3 linked regions of the Lytechinus pictus genome follow. The protein of the gene in region 3 purifies or fractionates together with the protein of the main gene of each other region. This does not show direct contact. Links are inferred from orthologs where the notes say so. Each region holds a gene or a part of one and is shown on either strand. Other genes may lie near its edges. The genes, in order: serine/threonine-protein kinase Nek9-like; 60 kDa heat shock protein, mitochondrial-like; activating molecule in BECN1-regulated autophagy protein 1-like.

Region 1 (7,412 bases), on a different chromosome or scaffold from region 3:
GGCCAACAAGTAAAATGGAGCTGGAAGAGTTTTTTTGCTGTTGTTGTTGCTGCCACTTTAAAATTTTGAACAATCCAAAAAGGGGCCTAAAAAGACCATGATGAAAATATACGGTATGGTATGGTCCCCCAAGACTGCACTGTCCCCCTTGTGTGTGCACACACGTACAGTGTATCTGCGTGATTCCAGTAAAAGAAGATACACAACGACCGTCAACCTTACACCTGCATATAATAATACACAGACAGATATTGTTAAAAATTCTACTCAAATGGTGGAAAAATAATGAATTTGGGGCATTTTATGTGAAGGCCTTAAAATGCAGCTTTTCTCATCAAAATGCTGGAATCGCGTGCAAAGTGAATGGGTGCGCAGACATGGGGCACCAGTTTTTGTTCAATCTGAAAATGACTGCCCAAGGTTTTTTCTAAGAAACTTATATACATGTACATGAAGGTTCTATAGGCCTATTTCTTTCAAGATATTTGGCACATAAGGCATATAATCAACTGAAAGAATTTGTGAAATAAACAGAAATTTTTGTTAAATCTCAACTGAAACCGTTACTAGGGGAGCAGACTTGGGGACTACTGTACGCATCATAACGTTAAGGTTACATCATTTATTTGAAATTCATCATTAAATCCTTTGAAGCTAAATCGTAACAACATTTAACAACAAGCTTAATGAGCTTTAAATTTCGCCCAACTTAGATGGCCAAAGTTTTTCATGGGTAGAAATTGGAAGGGCCAAGTCTGTGAGTCTGAGAATGAGCAGTCACTCACACTCACAAGCTCACAGAACTCATTCCCAATCTCATCACTCTAACTTTTTAGATCTAGACTATTGCTAGACTCTTGACTTTAACAGGCGCATAGCCGGGGGGCGGTGGGGGCAGTCGCCCCCCCCAAATAAAAACATCCCCAAAAAGAAAAAAAAAGAAGGGAAAAGAGAGGAGAAAAGGAAAAGCGAAGGGAGGAAAGGGAAGAAAGGTAGCTTTGTGGGTTTTTCTTTTTATTCTTTATTTTTTTCTCCAAAAAGCAACTCTGTGACTCTTGCTCTAAATTTATATATATATATGAATTTTGCTTCCGCGCTGTGCGCGGTTAAATGACAATATGGCAGTTCTCCTTTGTTTCCCTCACCCTTTCTCTAACCCTGTTTTTCCACCTCAGCTATATGTGTTTCTTGCCAGTTAAAGTTCAAATGTATACATTAGGGCATAGAATTAGAGTAAGGTTAGGCCGAAGTATATGAATTTATCTTTTTTTCTTAATTGATCGCGCAACTTCTGATCGGGTCAGCTCCGGGCGGGTAAAATCTTTATCTCAATTTATGCCGTCATCTCCATATAGGCAACTTCTCCCGCTTTTCAGCTCATTACTAAACAACCATAATTTGGGGGCAAACAGGTTCCTAATTTAAAGAGGAAGGTATAAAATTTGTGTCGTATTAAATTAAAAAAAAGTACAATATCTTTTTATCAAATTCTATTCAACTTCATGTCATTTCCCTGCAAATTCATCTCCTGTCCTGTTTGCACCCTCAGTTTGAAATTTTGAATGACACTATAAGTTTCTTTATCATTCAAAGTGAAGCGCATCAGGATAAGTGAAAGAAATTATACATCATCCTGTTTTATATAATTTCAATAATCACAGAAGTTTCAACTTTCTGCGCACTATTTTCCTTTTAATGAAGTTCAATAATCTTAGAAAATTAATTGCATTAGAGCTGATGGGGTATTTATTAGAGATATCTGCATTTGATGAAACGTCCGCCCTTTGAAATTTCAGAGTTTCATTGCTCTGCGCAGGGAGGAATATCTTCCTCCCGGCATATATCCTTCTTCTCCTCTGTTTTGCGATTTAAGATATGCACTGTCGCTATATTGTTTGTAATCAAATCTGATCTTTCCAAGGGAAGTATTCAATATAACTTAGAAAATAACCTTAATTCGGGACCATTTTCTTTGCAATAAAAAATTATAAAACGCTTTAGCTTCCGCACTTCGCGCGGGGTTCATTATTATTTAAATTTCCTCCATTTTATCCCTTTTTTGTTTGTTTTACAATCACTTTTGAAAACAAGGTTCAAAATCACAATATAGTCAAATGAATTGGAGCTGATATAGGTACTAGAGACAAGGGATGCGGCTCCTTTTTATTTTAATTTATGAAACACCGAAAGCTTCGGCACGGGAGGGGGAAACTCCCCCTCCCTGCACCCACCCCCTAGGGAGCGCGCATCGCGCGCTCTGTAAGTGTTGGTATGCTTCGCGTGCATTTACCGCCCCCTCCAAAATGAAATCCTGGCTACGCGGTTGGACTTTAACGTTAGACTTTAATAAAGTGAGTCGATCTCTATTCTAACTAACTGTCTGTAGCAATAGCATTGCTGTTAAAAGTAAAAAAAGTCTTACTCTCAACTACACACTCTCGGTCTCAACTACGTCTCATATTTCATAATCATATCCATCATGAGTGACCATGGTCCATGCATCTCTCTAACGTTAATAAAACCTCACCTCTGTTTTCCTGTAGAGAACTGCTTCACCAAAAGCTCCCTTTCCAAGCACTCTTACAGGTGTGTACATTTCCTCCTGTATCGTATCACTGCTGTTTGCACCGGCAAGGAAATTTGTTGAGCTCGAGGAGGAAAATCCCCCATCTTCTGTAGACATTATTGAACGTCTCTCTGATTTTGGAGCAATAAAATGAAACAGAGGGGACCTCAGGCTCAGGAGTATTAACTCATCAGCTGGCTTGAGTCTTGAGAAGGACTGTCACATTCAGTGTCATACAATTTTTTTACAATACAACTTAAGTAAGTAAGCTCGGGGGGACAGTTTGGCTACGCCGCGGTACGAATGATCGGTCGTTCGATGTGCCTCGGCCGTCGGTAGGGCGGAACTCGGAGGCAGGCTCCCGCTGTCGATTTAAGCAGAGCTAGCTAGCTAGCTCGCTGCGAAAGATCCGAAACGAAGCTCAGCTAGCGGTACGGTATACAAATACCGGTATACACACCATAGAGTTATAAACCTAAGTTAACTCTATGATACACACACAGATCAGTACGTAGTTAGTATACATCTCTATGGGTACAATAAGTCGTCTAAGTGCCTGTAGATCGTGCACAAATTCGATTCGGCCAGCATCAAAGATATGTCGATCCGAATTCTGATGAACACGATCTGCAGGATGGAGCTGTCGAGAGTGTCGGATATCAGTTAGCCATACATGCAGCATCCGAGGGGTTTCGTTCAAGTTTTGCCATAGAGACTCTTGCAAATAAATAACAACAACAAAACAAACTGACAAACCAAATTATTTCATTTACATTAACACATTGAAAAACTATGGCAAAAAATTAAAAGCCAGAGTTTTTTTTTTATGCAACAGGCCCCACCAGAGACCATATAATAATAATGATAAGAATGCACCTTCTATCTAGTTTCATATTCAGAGACGCAGAGAGAATAAAAACAAAGAAGGTGAGTGTTATTTGAAATATGATGAGAATAGATATGTCTTTACGATGTATTGAAGAATGGGGGGCCATGATGCCCCCCCCCCCGCCCCCTTCTGATCTCGGCCACCGATCGCGCTGGCGCCGAAATTTGGCACGCAAAGTCTTTACCACAAAAACTACAAGCCTGTATGAAACAAGAATGAAAATAATTATTTTTCATTTATTTTTAATAAAATATGACAATTTATTCATGAAAAATATATGCATATTTAACACCCAAATTCACTTCAAATAAGTTCTTCTCTTTTTTCCAGATGTCATCTTTTGTAATCTAATGAAAAAGTTTCCATAAAATTGCGAAAGGCAATTTTTTTCCTTATGTATTGCTTTGTTTTTAGAATTTCTTATGACTTTATTTGTTTTTTATCTTTTGTTTTTCATTTATTTCCAATGGAAATTATTACAGACCATTTAACAGCTAAATTGAATCCTATTTCAATTAAGCAGGCCAATTATAACGAAAATGATCACGCTTTTATGAATTTCATCTCCTACTGACTTTGTACACAAAGTATAAAAATGAGCCATTTTTGGCATGACATATCTTGTCTCGTAAAAAAACATGTGACGTCGCGATGCTATACCCGTATGTCGCGAATTTGGTCTCACAAGTTGCGCGAGACTTTTAAAATTAAAGTCACAAAAGTTTGCGGCGCTATCTTTTTGCGTTTCGAAAATATCGCGTGAAGCGTTGAGGGGGCCATCATGCCCCCCCCCCGTCCTCTTAGGGTTAAGGTTGCCTATGAATAACTCCATAGACTTGGCATTGGCATTGTTAATGAAGAGAGTACATTCTACAAAATGGGAGTGCTCATACTGAGCAAAAGCCTTTTCACCAAATGAGCATTTGACTATATAGCAGTTTTCAACAACCCGGTCATAGCGTATGGAAACCGATTTCGAATTAATAATATTCTCCCCAAAATGCACTTAATTATTTTCCCCCATTTTGGAGCCATGGTTCTCAAGCCCCCCCCTTCTATATATATAAAAAAATCGTAATAGTTGAAGGCAGTTTGAAATATACTTGGTGAAAATTCGTGCATCCTATCATTTTGAACACTGTTTTGAGTCCACTTTAATTTATTAAGCCTTTACATCTACTCAAGTTCGGTGTAATCTATTAGCAATTTATGTGCTCATTATGCTGTACTCCATATCATACTCTAGTTCTATTTGCTCTATAATTCCAAATAAGCTCTCTATATAGGTCCTACTCAAGTTCAATGAGCTTATACTGCTCAATAGTCGATTTGATGTGCGCTGTTCCCAGGTTCATATATAACACCTTAACAATTCTAAATGAAAAATAAGTTGACAATAGTGAGTATAATAATCAAAGGAAAGATATGGATAAATGTTTTTTTCGTTTTTCCAAGTAAAAAACAATCAATGGTTTATTAATTGTGATTGTACTTTAGTAAGGAGGAACTTTCAACATTTCAATCACTCTTCCTTGCACTTGTTTCCAAATCGGTGCACCTGTCAATGCCTGATACGTGTTAAGGACAAGTTAGCTTTCTCTTTTCCTAATTATAATTGAACTGATAAAAGTCTCCGATAGCACGCAGATTAAGGTGATGGGCAACAGGCCTCGGGAATGTACTTTCAGAACCAAGTAGGGCGAAGGTTGCCACCTTATGGTATATAAATAAGAGAGAAACGATAGATTCTATTGAATAAGCACGCAAGCAGACCCATCAAAGCTTTTCACTAAAGTCTGTGAGATCGGAACGAAAATGGATGCTTCTCTCAAGTTTTTGGCGGGAGTTGCCTTGGTGATGTTTGTGTGCATCAACGGGATGATAGGACAGCAGCCGCAGACGATGGATTTGGTAGAATCCGCCAAATCCCTTCAGGATCTTGCTCACATTGCTGTAGTAGATGCACTATCTTCACTCCAGACAGCACTCTCTTTACTTGATTCTCAGGTATTGCCATTATATCGTTTTGAATAGTTGGTTTAATTTCTTCTTTTATTAATTTCAGTAATAATGTATCCAAATCTGCCGTGATTATCACAGATTCATTTCTGGATTTATATTTGAATTCTTAACCCTAAAAGGAATTGGCTATTTGAGATGTATTGAGGATGGGGGTGTATGATGGCCCCCCCCCTTCTGATCTCGGCCGCCGTTCGCGCGATCGCGCCGAAATTTGGCACGCACATTCCTTACCACTACAATTAAGCCAGTATAAAAAAATATTCTGAAAATAATAATTTTTTATTTATTCTAAATAAGTAATGCAAATCATCTTGAAAACATTATTTGCAAATTTAACACCCAATTTCATTTCAAATTTTCTTCTTTTTTTCCAGATGTCATTTTTGTAATCTAATGTAAATTTTCCCACAAAGAAAAATCGCGAAATCTAATGTTTTTCTTATCTATTTCTTTGTTTTTAGAATCTCTTATGTATTTCTTGTTTTTTCATCTTTTGTTTTTCATTGTTTGTTTTTTCAATGGAAATTATTACAGACAATTTAACAACTAAAATAAACCATATATTAATTTAGCAGACCAATTAGAACAAAAATAATCACCCTTTTACGAATTTGATCTCCCATAGACTTTGTACACAAAGTATAAAAAGGAGCCATTTTCGGCATGACATTGTCTCGAAAAATTCACGTGGCGTCGTGACGCTGTAAATACCCGTATGTCGCGAATTTGGTCTCAAAAGCTGCGCGAGACTTCAAGAAAAAAGTCACAATAATATCGCGGGAAGGGTCGAGGGGGCATCAGGGTCCCCAGTCCTCTCGGGTTAAGTCATTTGTAATTTGAAAATAACTCTTCATATAGATTTACAGAGTATCTAGAGATTGATTGGTCATTTAAGACAATTGTAAGGGATAAACTTTGTGCAATTTCATGTTATATTGACATCACATCTCTCAAATGGGCCTATTAAGTCAAAGATAATGCACGTTTGTGATTATTATGGGTATTCACCTATGTTGAACCTTTGTTTCCGATATTTTTTTTTCAACACAAATAGTTTTATTTTGTCTTTTTCAAAGATTTTATATTTTGACAGTGATGAGTCAAAACATCCGCGAAAATACAAAGCAAATCAGTTTTCTCAAAACAATCAAACTCGTGATGGGTCTAATTCACCTTGTTGCGATTCCTCTGTGAAATTATATTGAATGAATTACATTTCTTTTAATCTAACATCATAGTTAATTTATGAGAATATTTATGAATAACAAATACGTCTTTAAATGAAATACCGATAAAATTCAAGAATATAGAAATAAGCAAAATTATCTTGTTTGATCTTTATTTCATTTCCATTTAACCCATCTTTTAATACTCGTATTTCTTTCTTATTTTCTTCTCCCCTTTAAAAAAAGGCTTATAAACAGCTGCTCTATTGAGACACGGATGTTTTTAATATTTTTCATATCCTTTAATACTATGAAACAGGCTGGGTTATCAATGAACATCATTTGTAATATAATTGAGAATAAGTACCAAGTGCCTAAAACTAAAGTGATTCTTTTAGTTTGTCTTTATTCTTTTTAGATGAGAATTAATGACTATCATTCTTATTGCATTATAGTTGACATAATTTTTATTCAAAGACCAACTTTTATTTTCCCTTCCTCATTAGTGGTCAAAACTTGAGGCTACTGCGAAACAGAAGAATCTAAACATCGCATTCATTACTGTACCTGCAGGTAATTCAGCAAAAAAATAATATTCGACTTGAAAGGATGCCATTATTTTGTTTAATGACATTATTATTCTGGAGAAAAAGTGATACCTAATAAATTTAAAAAAAAAGGAAGGGCATATCATGGGATCACTGGTATAAAGAGGGGGAGGTGGAAGTGGTCGAGAAATTGAGCAAGGAAATGATAAATATTATAGGTG
Region 2 (7,558 bases), on a different chromosome or scaffold from region 3:
ATGCAAATTCTAATTCATTTGTATCTATAGAAAGTCAACAGGGGCCTAAGCTTTCGATCCTAGCAGAATCTTCGTCGGAGGCAAAATTTGTAACTAATTAAATTCATTCCAACTGGAAGTTCCAATCGGATCCAGTTGGAAACCAATTAGTTTCAACTGGTTCTGGTTGAAACCAGTTGCCTTCAATTGGTTCCAACTGGAACCCCTGATTGAAACCAGTTGCTTCCAATTGGATTCAATTGGTTTTAATAGGGAAATTGGAACCAATTGAAACCAGTTGCCTAATTGGTTTCAACTCAACCAATTGAAACCCATTGCCAACTGGTTCCAGTTGCCCAATTGGTTTTAACTGGAACCAATTGGCAACTGGTTTCATTTGGAATCAGTTGTTCCAATTTCCCTATTGAAACCAGTTGGCCAACTGGTTTCAATTCGTTTTGCTCTAATTGGTTTCAACTGGATTTTGGTCCTGGGTGGGGTGACTTAATTTGTGCTAGCTCTGCATGAATTCACCCTCACTCAAGTTCCACTTCTATGATAGGAAAGGGCGATATAATTTATAGGCCTATGTTGAATATATCAAAATCTATTTTTTTTTTTGAGCAAAAGTCCTATATCCCAGATAGTCCGCTTACAATTAACTTTTAAATGGAAATAACACAGAATTTTAATGAAAAATTGAGATGTCAAGGGCAAGGCCCTACGTAGTGGGCGTGCTGGGGTTATCGCACCCGACCAAAGTGGGCGCAACTGAGTGGCGAGTCTATAAACAAAACACTTTTTTCCTCCTGCTTGTCAAATCATATTTTTCTAATCGAAAGCACCTCTAGTGAAAACCTTTATTTTTTTAGTCTCATTTATTTATTTGTTTTTATTCATTTATTTATTTATTTATTCATTTATTCATTTATTCATTCATTTATTTATTCATTTATTTATTTATTTATTTATTCATTCATTCATTCATTTCTTCATTCAATTTTTTTCTGATCAAATTCACCTTCATCAAGTTCTGGAGTGAAACTTATTTTTACAAATGTTCATTTGCTTGACTGTCAAAATTTTACAAGCCAGCACCCCATCTTAAAAAAAATCCAGGCCCCTGTGGCATGTCTGGCACTAAAGCTTAAAGGTCAAGTCCATCTAAGAAACGTTTTGATTTTAATCAAACAAGCATTATAGGCCTAATACGCTGAAAATTTCATCAAAATCGGATAACTTAATAACAGTTTCGCTTATTTTTCACAAAACAGCTATATCAAGGAGTTATACAGTGATATCTCCTTGGTATATGCACAATCAGTGATATGCAAATTAGAGAGTCGGTGATGTCTATTCTCACTATTTCGTTTGTTTTGTATTGTTTGAATAATACAGTATTTCCATTTTTACCGATTTATATTACTGAACCAAAAAACATAATAACAATATGGTATACCACATGAGCCTCGCGGGGATATAGGCCTAACTTTTTTTCGCAGGACAATGAGGCTAAAATTAGAATATTTCATATAATAAAATACAAATAAATAGTGAGTGGGTGATATATGTCATCAGTCCCCTCATTTGCGTACCGACCAGGAATGTGAATATTGTTTGTGAAACTTAAACGAAACTTATAAATGTCATTTCTATTTCTTATTTTACATCCAAATTTGATGAAATTTTCAGTGTTATGCTTGTAGGGGTTTTCTCCTTTTATTCAAATCAACTTTTTGTTGGGGTGGACTAATTGTCCTTTGAAAAAATGCCGCATGGGAGCATTTCCCCGGGCACATTTCCAGTCACTTAAATAGTCTCCCAGCACATACTCATATTTGACACTTATAATTCAACCAACCATGTCTAGAATAAAGACTAGATGCCAAACTCTAATCTTTGTCTAATGTTGCACAAATTTATGAGTTAAATTATAAAGAGAAACTAAAAAGAATGGAGCAAACTTTAAACTGCTGGCGAACTAGAAACCTTTCTCTAATTGGTAGAATCTGTGTTGTCAAAACTCTTATTTTGCCACAGTTAATCTATCTTTTTTCTGTTCTTTCTGTTAAATTACCCAGAGCCTTTTTTAAAGAATTAAATAAATTATTTTTTAAATTTATTTGGAATGGAGGCAAGGATAGAGTTCAACGTAAGATAATGTGTAATGATTATACTCAGGCTGGACTAAAAATGATTGACCCTTTTTCTTTTGCATGTGCTCAAAAAATGGTCTGGGTAAAACACCTATTGGATGAGAATTTTGATGCTCCATGGAAAAAGATTGAAGTAGCCTTTTTAGAAAAAATTAATCATGATATTCAAATTTTGTGGAAATCTCATGCTCCTGAGAGCATTTTAAACAGTCTTGGTAATATACAATTAGCTGAAGCATTGAGAATGTGGTATTCATTTAGGGAGGAAGCTGCTGTCGAATGTTATGGTAAACATTTTTCAGATTTGAGTGGTTGTCAACTCCTGTGGTATAACAAATTGATTCGTTCAAAATCTAAACAGTATCTTAATTATCCAATGTGGCATGAGAGAAATGTATTAATGTTATCTGACTTATTTAATCCTCCTCTTTTAGGTCACAAACTCTTTGAAGAGCTTGTGTTAGATTTTGGAATCCCCCAAACAGACAGAAGGAAATATAATTATTTTACTTAAGTGCATCCCTGAAGAATGGTTGGTGAGTTTTGACCCTGATATTATTGGTGTTCATGAAACAATTGTACATAAATTGTTGAGTTATAAAAAAGTCCCTAGACATTCATACATTTTATTTAGGGGATCACACACACCTGACAAAAGATACTCTTATTGGGATGAACGTTTACCAATACCAGTATCTATCGATTGGGAAAAGGTACACTACACAATTTTTTTTTGTACCATTGATACTAAATTAAGATCTTTCTATTTTAAGATTTTTCATAAAGCCATAGCATTAAATGATTTTTTGTATAAGATTAAATCTAAGGATTCACCCAATTGTGTTTTCTGTGATAAAAGTGAGGAAACAATTATCCACCTGTTTTGCGAATGTGAAAGGGTAATTCCTATTTGGCAATCCCTTTTAACGAAAATTTCCCAAAATAATGTTCAAATAAATGGTTCTAATTTTGAAAAAATGTTCGGACTCTCAACTGATAAGTTCATTTCATACCTTTTTTTACTTTTGAAGTATTATATTCATACATGTAAATTTAAGAATAATCCTCCAAGTTTTGCTCATTTTAAAACATTTGTTAAAAAACAACAAGACTTGGAATATTTGATAGCTAAGAAAAAAAATAAGTTGCCCGCTCACTTTAAGAAGTGGCGATTCACCTTATAATTTGGTTTTAAAAAATGTCAGTATAGGTTACATGATAACTAACACTGTATATTTTGTATAACAGGTTTAGTGTCCCATTTTTTTATATAATACTGCACTGTATTGGTTATAATTATGGTTGTAGACATCAGATCCCATTTTTTCATGCAACTTGTATCTCAGTCACCTTGATATACTTATTCGTTTAAAAACCTCCATAATTATGTCGTCTTGGATAACCAGTTGTGCTTTTTAATCCTATGAATAGTTGTTTGGAAACCACTTCATATAATCATAGCTTGTATATTTTGTTTTGTCTACTTTATTTACCAAATCACCTATCTTTGTTTAGATAACACTGATATTAAGTCATCGCATTGCCACATTCCTTTTTTTTTGGGGGGGGGGGGTGGGGGAGGATAAGTGGGTAGGTTTTTTTTTTTTTTTAAATTATTATTATGGTTGTTATTTTTTGTGTAACTAAATTGTGTTTATGTGATTTGCAATCACCTATTAATCATTTGTAAATTTTGTGATTTATTTCAATTTGTATAATAAAAACAGAATTATTAAAAAAAAAAGTCTCACTACTTCAGACTCTGCATTAAGCACTAATTGCGCAAACTAATTCTGTACCTGCAGACTATACCTTTTATAGGCATGTCTTTGAATGAATTTAGATAAATGACTAAACAGAGTCTAACATCCCATCGGTTGTGTTCTAATCGATTACATATGACGGTAGAATTCAAGGGTAGCCCTGTAACCTGTATGAATATAAAATTATGAAAAACTTCTTGATTTTAAAGCCATAAATTGCTCCCACTGTCCCATCATTGAATATTGTAGATATCAATAAAAATAAAAAAGCCATAACATCATTTCAAAGCAATCAATTCTACGTTTAATTTACCCAATGAGATGTGTATTTATTTGGTTATGTGGGTGCAGGGCACTCGAAAATGTTTAAATGCCCTTGATTATGCAATATTCGTGCGTGCGAGGCTTTGATGCAGCACGTGCGAACATTCGAGATTACACGTGCGCGTGCAACCAACGTGAGCTGGTTTACCGGCATTTGTCACTGATCTCAGCCGTAACTCCCCCGAAGACCTGCCCTGGACAAACTGGTGGTGTAACTTAACAAAATCTCATCTTCTATTTACATAAGGCGTAAGTAAGATTTTATTTATTAATGTAGCTTTGTTCTTTGAACGCATAGGCACATTTTAGAAGTCAAATTAGAAGTGAAGTGTGCCCCCAACAACATTCTTTTTAAGTTTTGTTTTTAATTTCTGCCGAATTCTGGATGTCTGAACTAACGTTAGTCTGACTCTGATTCTGAATCTGAATGCTCTGTCTTTCTTTTCTATTAATGTTAGCATGGTTAGTACTTATTCCACATTTCTTTTCACAATTTAAATGTCATTTCAACACAAGTTCGATCTTGCAATCTTCTGTTTCTTTCAGTTTCAACCAATATTATTAGTACATATTGTCGATTGTTATCATAGTACAAGTACAAGCATGACTGATGACAAGCATGACAAGGACAACTACAACTTACAAGTACAACTACAAGACAGACAGTTTTTGTTGACCAAAACTAGTAACAAGCTTCGGTCTCTGTAATACTAAAAGGCTTAGGCTAATTGTTGATAAAATAATTTACTTTCCCTACGCAAATTCCGATTTTACTTATATCAGGGGCCGCGGAAGCGGGGGGGCTGGACCGGCTTCAGCCCCCCCCCCCCACTTTTTTCCAAAACCGTGTACAAAAACGTAAAAATGACCATATGATTGTGATTTTTTGCGCGGTCAGCCCCCCCACTTTGAAAACCGTTCCGCGGCCCCTGCTTATATAACTACAGTATCAATTTCTATATAGAAATCGGTAAGTAATGATAATTTACTTACCAAACGGACTTCTTTCTGCTCCAAACATAGTCCAGATTGGACCTTGGTGTTTGGAAGTTCTCTTTCCCAAAGCTAACATAGAGGGCACATGAGCCACTGATCTTCTCTGAGTCTGAGCAATGAATCAGCGCCATCTTCCCTGAGGAGGGAAGATGAGTCCGTGGATTGGTGCTGATTAGAGAGTGGGAGTCATGTCATGTGCCCTCTATGCTATGTTAGCTTTAGGAAAAGAACTTCCAAACACCAAGGTCCAATCTGAACTACTCCGAACATCGGATGTCTTCGCTTAGCTGCGAGCGACTTTGTTCTGAAAACGAGTGCACGCACGTCAACAGCACGCATTTCCAATACAATCGGCCGATATGTCCGATGTTTGGGACCACCCCTTTATCCACCACTGTTGCTTAGGCATGCCTCAGCAAACTAAAAACTGAAGCCAGGCAGTGCTTGGTCAACTTTAGTTTATTTTAGTTGGTTCAAAATTTTCACAAAACAACGAGCTTATAAATGAACAAGGTAACATTCTCACTGTCTTCCTTTCCTACAGCACTCAAGCTTCCATCATGTACAGACTATCCAGCGTCCTCCGACCTTTGACCTCCCGGGCCCTGACCCCATCAGTAAACAGAGTCGTGTGCCCACATCTTGCCAGAAGCTATGCCAAGGATATCAAGTTTGGTGCAGAGGCTAGGGGTATGATGCTTCAGGGCGTTGACCTCCTTGCAGATGCTGTAGCAGTCACAATGGGCCCCAAAGTGAGTTGATGGTCAATAGGGGGCAGGGGTTTCTTAGTTTGGTGGGAATTTGCCAGCATTTAAATTTAACTTCAAATTGAAGAGACAGCAATGAAGAAATTTTTTTTCTTGTACAGTTTGTTATACATGTATGTACAGTGCTGTGGGAGATCTATTGTGCATCTCCGGGCTTTTTGAGCCATACAAAACAATCCTTTGGTTTGTTTGTCACTTATCAGCCTGTTCTTGCTTGCCATAAAAAGATGATTTTTTGTTGTAGCAGATAGGTTTAATCAATCAAACAGCCAACTGATTCCTGCTGTAAGTCAAATAACCTTCTAAGACAAAGCAATTTTTCAGGATCAGATGATGAGATCAGATAACTGATAATCTTTTCTTTCTGTGCTTAATTGTCCTCCATCTCTATACAAAAATTGTATAATTTATTTATGTAGGCTAATGTTAAAAGAAAAGTGCTTCACTGCCAAGGTGGCTTCTTTTGTTTGTTTGTTGTGTGTATGAACAAGTTCACTTGTTCCTCAAGAGCTATTGAATTAACTAAGTTTTCCAAAATCTTTGTCCTTGACTGCTCGTTCTACTTTCTTCCATCATGCTAACTTTCCCTTTTTGTAATTGACAGGGACGTAATGTAATTATAGAGCAAAGCTGGGGTGGTCCTAAAATCACAAAAGACGGTGTCACAGTCGCCAAAGCCATTGAACTCAAAGACAAATGGCAGAACGTTGGAGCTAAACTTGTCCAGGACGTTGCAAATAACACGAACGAAGAAGCCGGGGATGGAACCACGACAGCAACAGTATTGGCACGAGCTATCGCCAAGGAGGGTTTTGATAACATCAGCAGGGGAGCCAACCCTACAGAAATCAGGAAGGGCATTATGAACGCTGTTGATGTCGTTGTTAAGGAGTTACAGAGACAGTCCAAACCAGTTACAACACCAGAAGAAATTGCACAGGTGAACTGTCCTACTTGTTAAATACCTAATTAACCCATTGGAGACTAGCAATTTATACTATGACATATTTTCTATGGACCCCAGCCCACATTATGCAGCTTCAGTCTATATTGGGTTAACAAAACTTTACTACTCTGTATTTCAGATATAAATATTGTGCTGTTTGGAATATATCATTTGTGCTATTTTCAGTAGGTTGTACAGTCAAGCAATATTTTACTTTGCCAATGCTGCTTTTGAAGAGGAAGAAATTTGGTATTTCCAGTTTACAAATCAAATTATAATAAAGTAAAATAACAGCCTTTATGAGGCAACGATTATCAAGTTGCTTTTTCAATTACGCACTCTATCCAATCAGTTATAGGTGATAGTCGTGAATTGAATATTTTCTAGTTGATAACGATCAGGGATGTAGTCAAGGCGGGCCTTAGCATCAGCCTTGTGACATGGAACTATCGCTCGCTTCTGTATCCCTGAGAATGACCCACAGTTAATTGTGCCACTTTAAATCACCCTCATGTTATTCAATCTCATATGTTAAGCAATTTTTTGACCAAACTATCCAAAACCTGACAACTCTATGATTAAAATTCAGCTTCACTCAATTATAGCCAGTTTCACTTTTACTTTCCT
Region 3 (8,027 bases):
CAACTCATGTACATAAAGCAACTACTCTTTTTCTCTGATGTATTAAGGGTTGATATTTGCACAAAGAGGGCGGTTTATTGTTTTTATTATTTTGGTTTAAAAACTTTAATACATGATTCTATCTTCCAGGGGTATATTGGATATATAGGTACATGATATGAACTAGTTTATCTTAAATGTCAATTACTATTTAATTCTTTAAATTAACTGATAAAACACAGTGTACATGTATGGTAAAAGAGGCTGCTATGTTAGATGTTTTGTCCTTGTCTTGTATGAGAAATCATCCACTAATAAAAATGAATCGGGATATTCTTTAAATTGCACCTACATGCATTTGCAGTGTTTTGCACACAATCTGAAAGGCTTAAATTATGGATATCCACATTATAACATTTTTGAAAAATATAGAAATAGGAAAAGAGATAAACAAAGAAGAAGCAATTAAGGCATAGTAATATTCATTCTAAGTATCACGATTGTTAAAATATTGAATATAATTCTCTTGATGTGTTAAATAAAACATGCAAGTATATTATATAAAACAAACATAGAATTTGATTTAAATATACTTTAAGTCTTGCTTGAATTGAAATCAGCTTGTTGAATATGACTAAATTGTAAACACAAACTTTCTTGTTTCTTATTTTGCAATTTGAGTAGATACATAAGCTTTTCTCTATTTATTTTTCAAGGTTGAAGTGATCACTATGAAAATGGGCATTTCCTTGAAATGATAAACAGGGTATTTAGTATGTCTCCCCTCAATTTTATTATTTTTCTCAATGTTTACTTTATTTCATGAACTTTAACATCAATCTATGAGAGTTTAAGGGCATCACACATTGAACAGTAAGCAGAGGTGATCATGTCTGTGGGGTCCTGCTTGTGGAAACACAACATTTGCTCTGGGCTTTATTTCGTCTAAGATATAGGGTTGGGGTTGCAATTGGGTTTTATGCTAGGTTTAGGGTTCGGTTTAGGATAGGGTATAAGTAAATGCAGCATTGAAGTTGGTCATTTGATTAATGTTTGGAATTTGCAGCCGGAGCTAATGTCACAAAACTCCTGTTTGTTGGGGATTAGATATAATCAGGGTGACCAGAAATGGACAGTCAAAATACGAGACACTTCGATGTCTGGGGAGTGTTTCATCAACATTTTCAAGTTGTCAGATCTGGTAACTGTCGGATAAAATGGGACTTGTCGGATAAAACGTCCGACAAGTCCTTTTATAAAACACTCCCCAGATCAGTGGCGTAATGAGCTGAACTTTTATAGAATGCAAAATTTCCAAAAGGCTACAAGCGAGCGACCAAAAATTTGGGCATTTAAAAAAACCGACATTGGTAAAAGATGTTGACATAGTATGTAGACAACATATATTTCATCCTCATTTTTTCTTGCTATGTATTTGAGAAAAAAAATGGTAAGGTTTGAATATTGTCACATATTTTTGTGTTAAAAATCTTGAAATACTGGACAAAACGGCATCCTGGACAGGGTCTCACGGGACAAATGGCTGAATTACAGGACTGTCCCTTTAATTCCGGGACGCCTATGGCCTGTCTTACTAAGAGTTACGATTGATCCAATCAATCGCAACTATGGAAAGCCAGCAAAGTCAACATCATATACAATGCATGTTTGCTCAAATTTTTTCTAGATATGAATGTATATCCATAAATTCATTGATTTCTTGACAGTTCGGTTTGTTCTCCTTTCGTTACAATGGAAATTTTGCACATTTCCTGTAGAACAAATTATGACACTGATGGATTTCCAGAGTTGTTTGTTTTAAAAAAAATTCTAGATATAAATGTATCTCCATAAATTCATTGATTTCTTGACAGTTCGGTGTGTTCTCCTTTCTTTACAATGGACATTTTGCACATTTCCTGTAGAACAAATTATGACACTGATGGATTTCCAGAGTTGTTTGTTTTAAAAAAAATTCTAGATATAAATGTATCTCCATAAATTCATTTTGCACATTTCCTATAGAAAAAATTATGACACTGATGGATTTCCACAGAGTTACGATTGATTGGATCAATCGTACCTTTTGGTAAGACGGGGCCCAGGTCACCCTTGATATAATGGCCCATTTGAATTGGATACATGTTTTTAAGACATTCACTATTTTATTTTTTTTTGAATTTTTAAAAATACTTTGTTTGCTTTTCCATCATGATCCAGCAACCTACACAGTAAAAACGTTGTTTAAGATTTTATACAACGCTGTTTAAGATTTTATACAACGCTGTTTACTGTATGAACCTTACAGTATTTGTTTAACCGTTTAAACAATCATGTTTAATTTTTTGAAGATTAGATATTGAAAATTAAACTTTGTTGCTTAAGATTTAAACACTTATCTAAAATGTTTAAACAACTACTGTAAGGTTCATATAGTAAACAGCGTTGTATAATTATTTTTTACTGTGTATAACTAATTAATCTTTGTGGAGGAAACCCTGTCATAGATAGTAATATGTATGCTGTTCTCCACTTTAAAAAAAAATTATTTTTATGTACATGTATTAATGTATTATTTACATTGTATTTATCTTGTTCCTTGATTTTGTTTTTTCCAAAGAAGTAGACTGTATATAAACAGAGAGAGAGAGAGAGAGATGCATGTACAGTATGGCATTTAAGTTAATATTTGAGTATTTTTTCAAGATTTCTTGTAGGGGACCTGTTTCACAAAAAAAAAGATAAATTATGACAATTAAATGCCAGGTTTTCAGTAGCTTGTAACAATTGTAACTTGCCAGTGGAGGGTTTGTGAAACAGGGCCTATAATCGAATTGATGCAGGTACTTATTGGATTTTGATCTCAACATTGTTCAGACTCACACATGCCTTTGCATGGAGTGCGCTTATGATAAGTGCGCTATGAACGCCTAGCTTAGCCGGGTAATATAGGAGCGCCTTGAGCACCTAACAAGGTGGATATGTGCGCAATATAAATACCCTATATTATTATTATTAAGAGCGATTTTGCTGTATTATCTCTATGGTAATAAATATACTGTAAAAAATCCACAATTAACACTTGTTTTTGTTTTGTTTTTTTGCTTCTCAATATTCCATAATGACCTTGTGAGCTTAGGAAGGCATGTAATGAGTTGATTGCTCTAATTCTTTGATTTCTTTACTTTTATTCACACCTGCGGCCCGTCTTACAAAGAGCTGAGATTGATCCGATCAATCGCAACTATGTTAAACCAGCAAAGTCAACATATAAAATGCATGTTTGTTCAAAATATTTTCCAGATATGAATGTATATCCATAAATTCATTGATTTCTTGACAATTTGGTGTGTTCTTTTTTGTTTGCAAAGGACATTTTGCAAATTTCCGGTAGAAGAAATTATGACACTGGATTATGACACTGGATTTCCATAGAGTTACGATTGTTTGGATCGATCCCAACTCTTTGTTAGATGGGGCCCTGATAGTTGTTAATTGGAACTTTCCATTCAACGTTTTCTGTATTTCAGGCTGAAAATAATGACATCTCAAATTCTAAATAATACACTCTTAAAAATGTTGGGCAACATACACTGCATGTCCTCACGGTTACACTTCGTAATTCCGAAGGTTCTTTATTCCGAAGGTTCGTAATTCCGAAACACGTAAATTGCCTATACCTCGATGTTCGTTAATCCGAAAACGTAAAAGGGTTCGTTAATCCGAATGTTTGTGGCGTTATTCCGAAGGTTCGATAATCCGAAAACGAAATAAGGTTCGATGTTCCGAAGGTTCGTTAATCCGAAAACGAAATAAGGTTCGTTAATCATTTCGTTTTCGGACTAACGAACCTTCGAAATTACGAACCTCATTTCGTTTTCAGATTAACGAACCTTCGGAATTACGAACCTCATTTCGTTTTCGGACTGTCGAACCTTCGGAATTACGAACCATATTTCGTTTTCTGATTAACGAACCTTCGGAATTACGAACCTTCGGAAATACGAACCTTCGGAATAACAGAACCTTCGGAATAACGAAGCTTCGGAATTACGAATGTATGCGGTCCTCACAACTATTGGTTAAAACTTTATCCAATTCTGGTTAGTTTTAAACCAATAACGTGTGGTTTGGGTTACAACTACACAGTATTGGTTGAACTTGAAAACTACCCAAAGTTGGATAATTTTTTTAACCGATTGTTGTGTGCAGTGGCTGAGGTGCCGTGGCCGAGTGGTCTAACTTAAGGCGCCTGGCTATACATGGAAAGTCGACCCGTCCCCCTTTTGAGAAGCCAAATTACAGCTGAGAGTGGCTACCCTGGGCCGGGTAAAATTACCATTAAAACAGTATACCCTTCTTTGAAAGTGATCAAAGACCTTTTTTGGGGTTGTATTTTTTACTTGTAAGATTATTGCGACGAAATATCATTATTTGTTGTTAAAAACCCTTTTTTTTTTTTGGGGGGGGGGGCTTATCAAATTTTCCCCGGAAAAATGTGCCCCCCCCCCTTTGGAAAATCTTGGATCCACCCCTGCATGGTTATTAATTTCGCGTTTCGATGTCGTCGGGATGTGGGGGGTCGGGTGTCCGGACACTTTATATTTTTGAAGCCTTCTTTTTTGTCTTTGGATTACACTAAAAATACGAATTCAATACTTGTAATCATCTTCTATTTTGTTCTTTATATTATTTCCTAACATTTTGTACTAAAAATTGATGAAACTTCACTTGTAATTTTTTCCAAAATACTTTCTAAAATTGATCGTCCGGACACACAACCTGTCCGGACACACAACAACTGGGTATATTGTATATCTCCCAACCAAATGCAAAGCAAGTGTATTGTATTTGTACGTACGAATAGGGGTGTCCTCAGCAACAGTCACACCCTAAACACAAGTCCCGACCGATCAAAGCTATTGTGCTATCTTGAGCTTAACGGCACACGATACAAATCGATCGACTATTTTTGCGTTTGCGTGTGACTGTTTTGCCACGGTTGAAGCTGCTGCTTGCGTCTCCACCTAATCAAAAAAGAGGGACAAAATGAAACGCCCGAAATATTTATTGCGAGGCGTAAGAGATCGGGAAATTGGGATTAAAAGGAAGCCTGGAAGTAATGATATCCTTAGAAATTATGCAGATTTTATTAGTGCCAAGTATTCTTCTAAAATTGTGGTAAGTAAGACGAGCGTTTGTAATTCTTTGGTCCCGAGTGCTTGTTTTTATGTAGTGTTGACTGTTGGCCTTACGTTATTGCTCAATTTGACCAGTGGCACGACAAAAACGCGACGTTAGTTAGTATTTCCTGATATACAAAATGTACTCTAAATACCACAGACTCTGTTTATGATTTTAGGCTGATGAAGGAGTGTGAACCTTGGATTTTGGAACATGTTCTGTTTATTAAAATGTTATATTTTCATTATTTTTGTCTTCGGGTCATTCCACGGGGTTGGGGCAACAGCACTTTTTTGTGTTCCCTATGAATTGTTGGCTTTATCCTGAAAATGTGTTTGGCGCTTGGATGTTGCAATGTGGTTTTGTTGGAAGGCAGTTATGTAAGCAATTACTTGATGCAGAAATAAAAATGTTGAACCTCAAGTATTTTTGATGGTGAGACTTTAAATGATGATGTCCAGACTCTTTTTTGGGGTACCAAGTGTGACATCCAAAATGGTCATTTTCAGTTGAAGATATCTAATTGAAAGATAAACTTAGTCAAATTCAAATGGCCATGATTGATAAAGCAACATTTGTTTAATAACAAAACAGTAATGGGATAGCAAATGAAAAGAGGCTTCATATCATAAATCATTCCTACAACATCGCATACCACCGTTACATGCGATGTCCGCGTTTATTTTTTTCTGTAACGGCGGTAAACTGGTAAATAACTAAAAGTCAGAAATCATTCTTTCCAAAGTTATGTGTCAGAAATAAAGGGCAGGCAGTAAGCAACTTTTCATCAAAAGATTAGCTTTGAAAACCAATGTTAATGTCATGTAAATTAATCGAAGTTCGCCGATGTTTTGGGCGATGTCCGGGCCAAATTTGTAACGGTGGATCACATTTCATCGCGTATGTAAAAAGGAGAGACCGGAGAAGAGACCGTCGTTGTATCAGACGGACGGGATGTTAGCCGAAATCCACGTGCACATGAACGGCTATGATATCGGGTGTTATGCAGCATTGCAATTGGGAATCTTCCTGCAATGTCCGTGTAACGGTGGATTGGATCTCCACGATGTTTTCCCTTTCAAAGCGACGTAAGTACGGAGATTTATCCCGATACTCGTATTTTTAAATCAGTTAAACCTTATCTTAAAAATGTGAAACTATATTATCATGCAGAAAGTGTTTTTAAGTTTGAAAAATCTCGCTAATTTTCCATAATTTTTTACTACAGTCCCACATGTATCTTTTCGTGTAAGTGAAATATGTGATTGAGACATCGCCGTGTTTGTTCCAGATTTGCTAAACGGCCCCAAAGAAATAATGTTTTTATTACTGTGATTCCGTGCAAACATGTTTTGAATTTTAGCTGACATGATTCAATCGCAATTTAGTTGATTTTTTAAACACCGAAATATGTTATTTCAATAGGCCAATGGATACTCAAAACTGCTCTATCACCGATGATCATGCTGACATCTCAGATTTGGTACAAAATCTCGCGGCTTTCTCGCCTTGTTTAAATTGGCTCCTACTGATTCTACGTAATATGGGTATCAAAGACCTGATGATCAAATTTGAATTTCCCCCAAAAAATGAGAGTTTAGAACCAGTGGCAGCGCCACGGGGAGGCAGGCCCCCCCCCCCCCCCATTTTTTTTTTTTTTTTTTTTTTGCTTGTCAGCTGATCCCAATCCGAAAGGGGGGGGGGGCAAAATAATTGTTCTGTTACTACCCCCTACACATAGTACATGTGCTTTGTGTATGATGAAGCATGGCCATAATCCAATTACTAGTAATTCTTGGCTGTAGGCCTAACCTTCCCAAAACTTTTCATCTTGTTGAATGTTATACTTTTCAGCACATTCTTTTTTTCTCTCAATATTTTTTCAATATTTTGTATTTTGATTTCTATATATTAAATTGTAAGGAGAGGGGGGGGGGTTCGTTTTATCAGAAAGCAGAAGCCTGTGTGATTGTTTTCAATGTGATTTTTTTTTATTGCAATATAATGAGTTTTTTAAAACATGTACAAGTGAACAAAAGAAAATGTGACACAATCAAGTTTGTTTCACAAGAGTTTATTTGCTGTATCAGAAGGTAAATTGCAGATTTGAATTCCATTAATTCATTTAATTCCAATAAAACATACATATATTATGTAATTGCTTGAACAATTAAACTTCAGCGATGAAAATTAAATAGGATGGTCATAAAAAACTAAATGGAATTGTCTAGATAACCACCCTTGATTAGAATGCAGAATAAAATTAGATTAAATTAATCCATTGAGAAATGAAATTGAAGTACAGATAATTTATGAAAAGGTAATGGGCAAGTAATTATATTGTGAAAACAAAGTAGAACACAACAACACAAATACAAAAACCTTCTATAAAACGTAACTTTATATTTAATTCATGAACTATAAAATGATGAATTCTATTTGCTATGAAAAAATACAAAGTGAAGGTTCTTGTGTATTTTGCAAGAACAGATCAGATTCATTGTCCCTAGTAATCCACCCCCTTTAATGAGAAAATGTCAAGACATAAATAACTAAATGATTTGATATAATATAAAAAATATTTGCTTATTGCTTAAAAAATATAGTCAAACTTCCAAATACTATTTTTCTCAACTACAGGTAGCCTCTGTTCAAGGTGAAAATGTATATCTTCAGTACATGAAGTGTCAATCTGGTGACCTGTACTCCTGGCCTGATGGCGAGGCACAATTCTACCTCCATCCACTTTGTGACATTGACAGAATCCTCTTCCAAACTTTCTTATTGGGTCACCAGTCTTCTTGAAGTTCATAAACTTGTAACCTGAATGCAGAGAGAAATATTGCATGTTAATTTTAATAGTC

What was found.
Region 1: the proteins of activating molecule in BECN1-regulated autophagy protein 1-like (region 3) and serine/threonine-protein kinase Nek9-like purify together in Homo sapiens (affinity purification with mass spectrometry; 3 studies listed by BioGRID and IntAct, with this or other methods). This does not show direct contact. The link is inferred for Lytechinus pictus from reciprocal best matches to the Homo sapiens genes AMBRA1 and NEK9.
Region 2: the proteins of activating molecule in BECN1-regulated autophagy protein 1-like (region 3) and 60 kDa heat shock protein, mitochondrial-like purify together in Homo sapiens (affinity purification with mass spectrometry, with the first as the bait; 3 studies listed by BioGRID). This does not show direct contact. The link is inferred for Lytechinus pictus from reciprocal best matches to the Homo sapiens genes AMBRA1 and HSPD1.

What each region holds. Positions count from the first base shown.
Region 1 is NC_087251.1:9,672,099-9,679,510, forward strand, and holds the start of serine/threonine-protein kinase Nek9-like, read right to left. Parts: upstream 3,138-7,412; 5' UTR 2,684-3,137; coding exon 2,528-2,683; intron 1-2,527.
Region 2 is NC_087257.1:28,130,025-28,137,582, forward strand, and holds the start of 60 kDa heat shock protein, mitochondrial-like, read left to right. Parts: upstream 1-4,280; 5' UTR 4,281-4,471; intron 4,472-5,762; 5' UTR 5,763-5,778; coding exon 5,779-5,970; intron 5,971-6,589; coding exon 6,590-6,925; intron 6,926-7,558. UniProt on the Homo sapiens protein: Chaperonin implicated in mitochondrial protein import and macromolecular assembly. Together with Hsp10, facilitates the correct folding of imported proteins.
Region 3 is NC_087253.1:10,978,247-10,986,273, reverse strand, and holds the start of activating molecule in BECN1-regulated autophagy protein 1-like, read left to right. Parts: upstream 1-4,954; 5' UTR 4,955-5,028; coding exon 5,029-5,160; intron 5,161-7,900; exon of another isoform or gene 7,901-7,990; coding exon of another isoform or gene 7,991-8,027. UniProt on the Homo sapiens protein: Substrate-recognition component of a DCX (DDB1-CUL4-X-box) E3 ubiquitin-protein ligase complex involved in cell cycle control and autophagy.